Canis lupus familiaris: one gene and its partner. Each later gene encodes a partner of the first gene's protein in a complex. Links are inferred from orthologs where the notes say so. Each region holds a gene or a part of one and is shown on either strand. Other genes may lie near its edges.

What was found. The genes of interacting proteins can lie anywhere in the genome.
Region 2: the proteins of PTH1R (region 1) and PTH are in contact, whole or in part, in a cryo-EM structure (PDB 9JR3), measured with the Homo sapiens proteins. The link is inferred for Canis lupus familiaris from reciprocal best matches to the Homo sapiens genes PTH1R and PTH. Residues at the interface, in NP_000307.1 of Homo sapiens: Val31, Met32, Thr33, Lys34, Glu35, Gln37, Ile38, Leu41, Glu111, Trp112, Asp113, His114, Ile115, Ile135, Tyr136, Asp137, Phe138, Arg146, Arg162, Thr163, Ala165, Tyr167, Val171, Leu174, Thr175, Glu177, Glu180, Arg181, Phe184, Leu187; in NP_000306.1 of Homo sapiens: Ser32, Val33, Ser34, Glu35, Ile36, Gln37, Leu38, Met39, His40, Asn41, Leu42, Gly43, Lys44, His45, Leu46, Asn47, Glu50, Arg51, Val52, Glu53, Trp54, Leu55, Arg56, Lys58, Leu59, Asp61, Val62, His63, Asn64, Phe65.

Annotation. Positions count from the first base shown.
Region 1 is NC_049241.1:42,328,084-42,332,215, forward strand, and holds the start of PTH1R (parathyroid hormone/parathyroid hormone-related peptide receptor precursor), read right to left. Parts: upstream 2,810-4,132; 5' UTR 2,546-2,809; coding exon 2,471-2,545; intron 1-2,470.
Region 2 is NC_049242.1:37,024,114-37,028,121, forward strand, and holds the start of PTH (parathyroid hormone precursor), read right to left. Parts: upstream 2,807-4,008; 5' UTR 2,733-2,806; intron 627-2,732; 5' UTR 622-626; coding exon 536-621; intron 418-535; coding exon 156-417; 3' UTR 1-155. UniProt on the Homo sapiens protein: Parathyroid hormone elevates calcium level by dissolving the salts in bone and preventing their renal excretion. Acts by binding to its receptor, PTH1R, activating G protein-coupled receptor signaling.

The DNA of each region.
Region 1 (4,132 bases):
TTCAAAATTCACTCCATTTGGCCCCCAGCACACAGTTACTATTCTCTGTAAGGACAAAATGGACCAGCTGAGTCTGGCCACAGCCCTTTCCTCCCGGTGGGATGCTTTTTGATCCCCCAGCCCCGAGGTCCCTGGAGACGGGAGCCTGCTCCCGGGGCTGGCTGGGCAGGCAGTACACAGGTCTGGCAACAGAGGCCACCAGCTGAGTTCAGTGGACTTGGTGGGCATCAGCATAGATGTGGATGGGAACGGCAGTCTCCGGGTTCAAAAGAAGAAGCTGGCAGGCTGGCAGTGTCTCGCTGGCTCCAGCTGAGCCCAGGGGGCCTACAGGGGATTGGGTGATCATTGAGCCACATCCTCCAGCCCTAAAACCAGGGAAGGCCCATGGCCTCAGTGTCCAGCCACGGATGTCCCCAAAAGGTCTCAGAGCAGATCCAGCCATGGCACCCCTCCTGCCCTGCCCTCAGACCTGCCCCAGGGCTAAGCCAGGCAAATTCTCTGCATGTGCCTCAGCTTCCCCAGAAATCAGTGTGGGGCTCTGGGCACCCATTACCCCCTTCCCATAGAGACACGGGGCTTGGCAATAGATTGGCACGTGAAAAAAGATGGTCCTACTGATTTCGTGATTCAGATTATTTTAAAAATGGGAACAGTAACAAAACCCTTTTTTCTAGGGTTGTTGGAAAGATTAAAACTAATTAATACCGTAAAGTGCTTAGGACAGTGTCTGACGAGTAGAAAGCACTAAAAAAGCATTGATTAAATGAAAAATAAGAACTAGACCTGGGTGCACATGTGCTCACAAATGCACACACACACACACGCGTGTGCACAACTATGCCCCTGCAAGTCATGTGCAGACCCACAGCTTTGGACACATGTGTTCACACACGACTCAGCCACACGCTCACCCGGATCTAGAGAACAGCCTGCCCAGAGTCCCAGCGGTCCCGCTCTGACAAACAAACGACTCTCAGCACCCTCACGTCCATCATCCTGTCTACCCCAGGGATGTGCACGCAGATTGCGGCTGGCTCGGCACACACTCTGGAAGGGACGGTGGTGGGGAAGGCACGCCTGGCCCAAGGGGGAGGGTGGGGAATTGGGTCCGGGTCCTGGCATTTATTTCTTGTAAATGGCCTTGACTTCCCCATCTATAAGTTCTCGTATGGGGTGAGGTTTCTGGCTTTGGGGAGCCAGAGTCGTGAGGGCATGGGCACCGGAGAATGGGTCTTGCCACGCTGAGGGCCCCCCTCCGCCCCCCACCCCAGGAGAAGAGAGCCTCACTTAAATCAGGGGACTCTCAGGCAAATGTTTCTCGCTAGTTTTTTGCAGAAGGTGTGGAGAATAGCCCCAGGTCCCGCGGGCCTTAGGCAGGGCTGGAGGACTCCCAGAGCTCCTGCCTTCCCGCCTAAGGTTCTTCCCGGGTAGGGAGCTGGTCAGGAGAAGGTGGCTGCCTGCCTGCCTGCCTGCCTGCTTCTCTAGAAGGCACATGCCCACCTGGGAGGTACTGGGGAGGCAGCAGGGGCCTTGGAGCCGGACACACAGGCAGACAGCCTCCTCAGCAACGGGCTAGTCCTGTGAGACAGGGCTGCTGTGGGATCCGACTACTCCCCGGGTCCCGGCCCCCCATCTCTGGCCCAGAAGGGGGAGGATGCTCCCCCCCACCCCCAGCCTCTGCCAGTCTCTCCTTTTCTCTGCTATTCTTGGTCTATCTACTCCTTCTGCTCTGGGGAGCTCTCATCTCCACCCCCTTTGTCTCTCTTCTCTCTCTCTTGCTTATTTCCCAACCTGCCTCTTCTCTCTCTCTCTGGTCTCCTCTTGGTCTCTGCTCTCAGGATGGGGGTCCCTCACTCACCAGAGTCCCCCTCCAGCATGTTTCTTCTGGAGGAGTGTCCTGTGAGGGTGGTCTCCTTCAGAGGACCTCCATCCTTCCTCTGGGCCACATCACACTCGCCTCCCTGGGCAAGAGCGTCTGCGTGTGTGCATGCGATCGCGAGAGCTGGAGGGGACCCCTAAATCCTACCCCTAACCTAGGGGATTCTGACCTCAGATCCACAGCCCTGTGTCCTGGATCGCAAACAAAACTTGCAGAAAACAGAGGCCCTGGAACAAATCTGTGGGACCCTCGATCAGGGCCAAAGCCAGGTCTACTGCTAGATCACACTGTCATCCCCGAAGGCGACACAACCAGAGCAGTGGAGCTCACAGAAGCAGAAGATAGAAGAACCCCAACCACAGAGTTCCAGACCTGGGACCCCAAACCCAAGCTTCAGCCATAAGGAGATGGGAGCCATCTGGAGCCGAGTCCAGACACCCCAGAGACAGCAGGCACCGGGGATCTGGGGTCAGAGGGGCCGTTCCTCCAAAGTTCAGATTGCCCAGGGAACCCAAGACTGTGCGCCCTGGACCCACCCAGGCACCGCAGAGCAAGCCCGCAGCCTGTCCCGAGTGCCGGCGAGGGACTTACCAGCGCGTACGCGGAGCTGAGCACCGGGCAGCAGAGCAGCAGCGCCAGGCCGGGCGCGATCCGGACGGCCCCCATCGCCACCGCCTAGGGCCCCGTCCCTCGGGGCAGCCGCCGCCGCCGGCCCTGGTGGTGGTGGTGGTGGGGTACAGAGCTGCGTCAGGCCGGGCTGCCCCGCCCACGCCCGGGCCTAGGGGACCCCGGAGGCCAGGCGGCCCGAGGCCCCGGGGCCCGGCGCGGGGCCCATGCGCCGAGGGCGAGCGAGCGAGCGAGCGCAAGGGAGAAAGAGAGGGAGGGAGGAAGGGAGGCAGCCGGGGGCCGGGCGGGCGGCGGGCGGGCGCCGAGCGCTGCGGAGCTGCCCGTCTGCCTCGGAGCGGAGAAATCACATCCATATGGCCGGGCCCCCCGCCCCCGGCCCGCCCCCCGCCCCCCCCCCCCGCGCCGCCTTTTCTTTCTTTTTTTTTCTTTTGGGGAACTGGGAGCTGTGGCTTCGCCCCACGCCCAGTGGGGGAGGGGTCGGGGGAGGGGTTGGGGTCGCGGTCTGCGGGGGGCGAACCGGGCTGTTATTTTTAGCTCGGCGGCGAGCCCCGGGCGGGGAGGGGAGGGGGCGGGGCGGGGCGGGGGGCGCGTTTCGAGTCGCTCGGGGCGTGCAGTTTAGGGACGCGATCCTAACTTTGCAACGACGCTGAGCCGTTCGGTGCTCCGGCCGCCAGCCGCGTGCCCCTTAGCCCCCCTCGGATCCCCATCGTGCCTGCGGCTGCCTCCCGAGCCCTCTCCGCATCCCGGGCCGGGGCCCCGCCCGCGCCCGCGCCCCCGCCCGCGCCCCCGCCCCCGCCCGCGCCGCCGGAGCACGCCCGCGGCCGGGACGCTCTGCCTGTCGGCCTGTCCGTCCGTCTCCAGCTCCCCCAGCCTTGGCCTCCGTTCTTGCAGCAGCCCCGAGCTCCGTGTCGGTCACTCCCTCGCTCCCTCCCTCCCTCCCCTCCCCCTTCTCTCTCTCTCTCTCTACGAAAACATTTGCAAGTTTCCAAAAAAGCCACGGAGCCGAGCGGCACGGGGCTGGCGGCTCCACCGGGCTCCGAGGAGGCGCCGCCGACCGACACCGAGACGGAGCAGCGCGCCCGGGGCCCGGCCAGGCCCGGAGCCGCCCCGAACCCAACGCCGCCCCCGCGCCCGCCCCCGCCCCCGCGCCCGCGCCCGCGCCCGCGCCCGCCCCGACCCCGACTTACTCCGAGCGCGCCGCCGCGGCCCCCGCCCAGCCATGGGTGTCGGGGACCCCCCGACAGCCTCCCCAGGACAGCGCCCCGTCCGCGGCCCCGGGGGCACCTCATGGGGCTCTCGGGATGCCCTCCGGCCGGCCCGGCCTCCAGCGCCCCCCGCCCGGCCGCCGCTCGGAGCCGCCGCCCGCCGCGCGCGTCCCTCGCCTCGGCGTCTGCCGCTCCCCCTGCCCCCGCGGCCGGGCGCCGCTTCCCTCCCCCGCGCGCTCCCGGGCCTCGCCCCCGCCCCCCGCGCCGCCCCCGCCCGGGCCGAGCCGCCGCGCCGCCGCGCCGCCGAGCCCAGCCCGCTGCCCCTGCCCCGGGACGCTCCGCTAGGGGCCGCGCCCGGGTCGCCGGCGGCGGGGGGGCGTGTGCAGGGGACGGGGCCGGGGGACTCGGACGTCGGGGCCCG
Region 2 (4,008 bases), on another chromosome or scaffold:
ACTAGAATCAAAACAATCAATTAAAATTTCAGCTATCATGGCTAACAATGGATTACATGTAAATTTTGGCATTTATTAATCTTAAGAGCTTGAAAATGTTAGCAGCTTGTAATGTTGTTGCCCTATGCTGTCTACAGCAGTGCCCTGATGTATCGTCACTGGGATTTAGCTTTAGTTAATACATCCACATCAGCTTTGTCGGCTTCTCCAAGACTTTTTTGATAGCTCTCAACTAGGACATTGTCTTCCTTTTTTAGGGGCCTCTGGGAACTACCATCTCTGTGAGCTATTGGAGCTCCAAGGGCAACAAAGTTGTGTACATCCTGGAGCTTCTTCCGTAGCCATTCCACCCTCTCCATGGAGCTCAGATGTTTGCCCAGGTTATGCATAAACTGTATTTCACTCACAGATCTCTTCCTGGAGGGAATAGAAACAGGGAGGACCACTCCATTAACTCTCTTCTTCCCAATCATAAAGCCAACCTTAAAATCCAATTCCCATGCCCTCACCATGCAGAACAGGGTACCATACTTACTTAACAGGTTTCCCATCTGACTTTGCAAGAAAACAAATTGCAAACATGACAATCATTACTTTAACCATGTCTTTTGCAGACATCATCTTCACTGAAAGGAAAAACAAAATGAAAATATTTAAAGATATTTTTAATACGCTAAACTGTACAGTTAAATTTATAGTAGTTACCATTACAACCACACAACTACACAGAGTGTTACAACAACTAATTGAATTGGTTTTCACAAAAGACTTGTAAAATCAGCCTTTTGGGACACCTGGGTGGCTCAGCAGTTGAGTGTCTGCCTTTGGCTCAGGGTGTGATCCTGGAGTCCCAGGATCGAGTCCCACATTGGGCCCTCTCCCTCTGCCTGTGTCTCTGCCTTTCTTTGTGTCTCTCATGAAGGAATAAATAAGAGCTTTTAAAAAAAATCAACCTCTTTTATTTAGTATATTATATATCTGTAATATATTATATATTAATAATATACACTAGTGTATATATTACTGTGTATATATATTAACATATGCACATAATTTGCCTTAGAAATTAGTTTTACTTTCTTAAGCAACATTTTGAGTTTTTTTTTTTTTTAAAGATTTTGTTTATATATATCAGAGAGAGAAAGAGAGGCAGAGACACAGGCAGAGGGAGAAGCAAGCTCCATGCTGGGAGCCTGATGTGGGACTCGATCCCGGGACTCCAGGATCACGCCCTGGGCCAAAGGCAGGTGCCAAACCGCTGAGCCACCCAAGGATCCCCAACTTTTTGAATTTTGTACAAATTTTAATATATGAATTTTAAGCCACATGAGTAATGAAGAGGCTTACTTTTTAGAATTTCCTTCCACATTTTATGTTGGTTCTGATTAAGTGCTTATAATTTGCTTGAAAATGGTTAATTCTCTTAACCAGGTAAATTACTAATGCTGTTTATTTACTTAGCAAATTTCTTTTTTCACAAGTCAACTTCATTTCAGGCCCTGCAATAATATCCATAAATACCAACTTAATAGGCTCTAATATACAGATTTTTAATGAATTAATGCACATTTCTCCTATCATTAAAAAGAATGTGTCGAAGTATTTTAAAATCACCTAATTAATTGCTTGTTTACAGATTTAGAGCCTTGGCTCCATATGGAATGCTTGTTTATCTTATTGGCTTATTTTATTAACAGTCTTGTTTGAGTATAATTGTTAGCACTTTTCTCTTTTGCTCATAATGCTTTCATCTCAGAATAGAATAGTCTTACCTTAATCTGCATTTCAGTAATTGCAAAGCCTATTATTACAGTAGTGCTTTTTCTTAATGCTTCACGTTCTCCATTTTAACACACAGAATGGCTGTGTACTCATATTTTAAAGGGAAGCAGCACCACTTAGAAGTCACATAAGAAACATTATAATCTACTACATTTTTTTCCCACTCTGCAATATAAAGCTACTGATGAAGAAACAGATGAAGATGCTTCGATGTTGGTTTATGTCAGGAAGAGGCACTGTAGCTGGAGAAGAGAAGCATTGGTATTTAGTCCTAGCTTTGTCAGAGTCACCCAGTGACTTAAGACATCTCTCCTTGGCTTCCTTGTTCTTAGTAGAGAGAAGAGCTTCTTATAAGAATGCCATGAAAAAGCAAAAAAAGCAGTTGTAAAACACCCTTAAAATCTATGTAGTTTTCAGAATAGCAAATTTGGAAAGGCTTTATGTAAAGGGAATAAACATTCAGCAGTAAAACTGAATTTCACCAACTATAATATATAGATTTGAGTTTTATATGAGTCATAAAACAGTCTGGATAAGGATATTCTGCAGGAAAAATGAATTTTAACACAACTTAATAAATTTGTACTGGTTATTTAAATTAGAATTACTCATTCATCACTAAGCTGTTTTTTTTTAAATTTCAGTAAGAGACCATTAGAGCTTATCATGCACAATTTTAATTATTTTTTTGTGTAATTTCAGATGAATCTAGAAAAAGCAAGGCATTTCGAAAGACTTGAATCACCAAAACTAATGATTTAAGGGCAGTGGAGCAGCATAAATTCCTTTTGTATTGTGGCATTTTATATTAAACAGCATTCAAACTCTCCCTTAATAATTTACCTTGAACAAACAGCATGATACTTGTAGAAAATAGTACACATTATATAATTATTCAATTATGAAAAAATCTCAGATGCAATTTAAAAGAGAAACTAAAGATTACTCACCACACAATGTCTTGTGACAAGATCTTTCAGGTGTATCGGCAGCTGATGCTTTTTCGAAGTTGAGTAAACTTGTGAAAGCTGATGAATTTGACTGTAGACTCTCAAGTGTGACTTTTATATATAGGTCTTCCACTTACCAAGAGAAGCTTTTCTATTGTCATAGATGATGTCACTCCCAATTCTCTGGTTTGTAACTATAGGCTCAAAGTCACACACACACACCCTCACTGGGCGGTGCCCATTCCTCTTAAATTTTAAATAATTGGATATTAGAAGGAAAACAGTGTGGACCTCGGAAAAGAGTTTATGCAAAGATGTCTAACAAATACTGAATTGTAATTCTGAGTGGATTAATGAATTTATATTATAAGAAAGACTGATTTCAAAGATATATGGCAAAGTTATTTGAAAGTAAAATCTGAAAATAAGTGCATTGGTCATAACTACACTATTGGTATAATTACTGTGGGGATTATAAATAATCACATTATGTTATTCCTACTTTGTAAGCCATTTTCAGTCAAACCATATTACTCCTGGTCATCTTTCCAAAAAAGTAGACACAGTGCTTTTCTTAAAGGAAGTGTTAAAAGTATTTTGAGAAAATGTTTTTTGTATGTAATTAATTCTAAGGGTTTAGATGTGAAATTACTTTAAAATTCATTTAACTTAAATTTCATGTATGCATTTTAATTTGCAGGAAAACACTTGCTAAGCACTATCTGCCAGATTTTATGTGTATTATCCCATGACATCTTCACAGTCATCCTTTAAATAGTTATTAGCCCAAATTTCACATGAGGAAACTAAGGATTGGAAAGTGGAGAAGATGGAATTCAATCAAAGTCTTTATAACTCTGGAGCCATTCTGATTCTTACCATCTTAGTTTCTCCCTAGAAAAGTAGCTCTTCTTTGCATTCCAGTCTTTACAAGCCTTTACCAGCCTCTTTGCCCAGGGGTTGGGTCTTGACTTTCAGGTTCCCCTGATGATAATTAAGAACCTGCTCTAAAATTTAGCAAAGGCATAGTACTGCCACCTGTTTGACTTCAAATATTGCTATAGCCTGCTCCAGTTCAAAACCCTTTGAATGCCCTGGATGCATTCAGGATTCATTTAGGCAGCTTGCCTCCAATTAAATTCCAGCATTGGATTAGTTTTCTTAGCTCTGGTCCTATCCAGGCTTCATGTAATTCCTTTTTATTTTTTTTAAAGATTTATTTCTTTTTATTTGAGAGTACACAAGTGATGGGGAGGAGCAGAGGGAGAAGCAGACC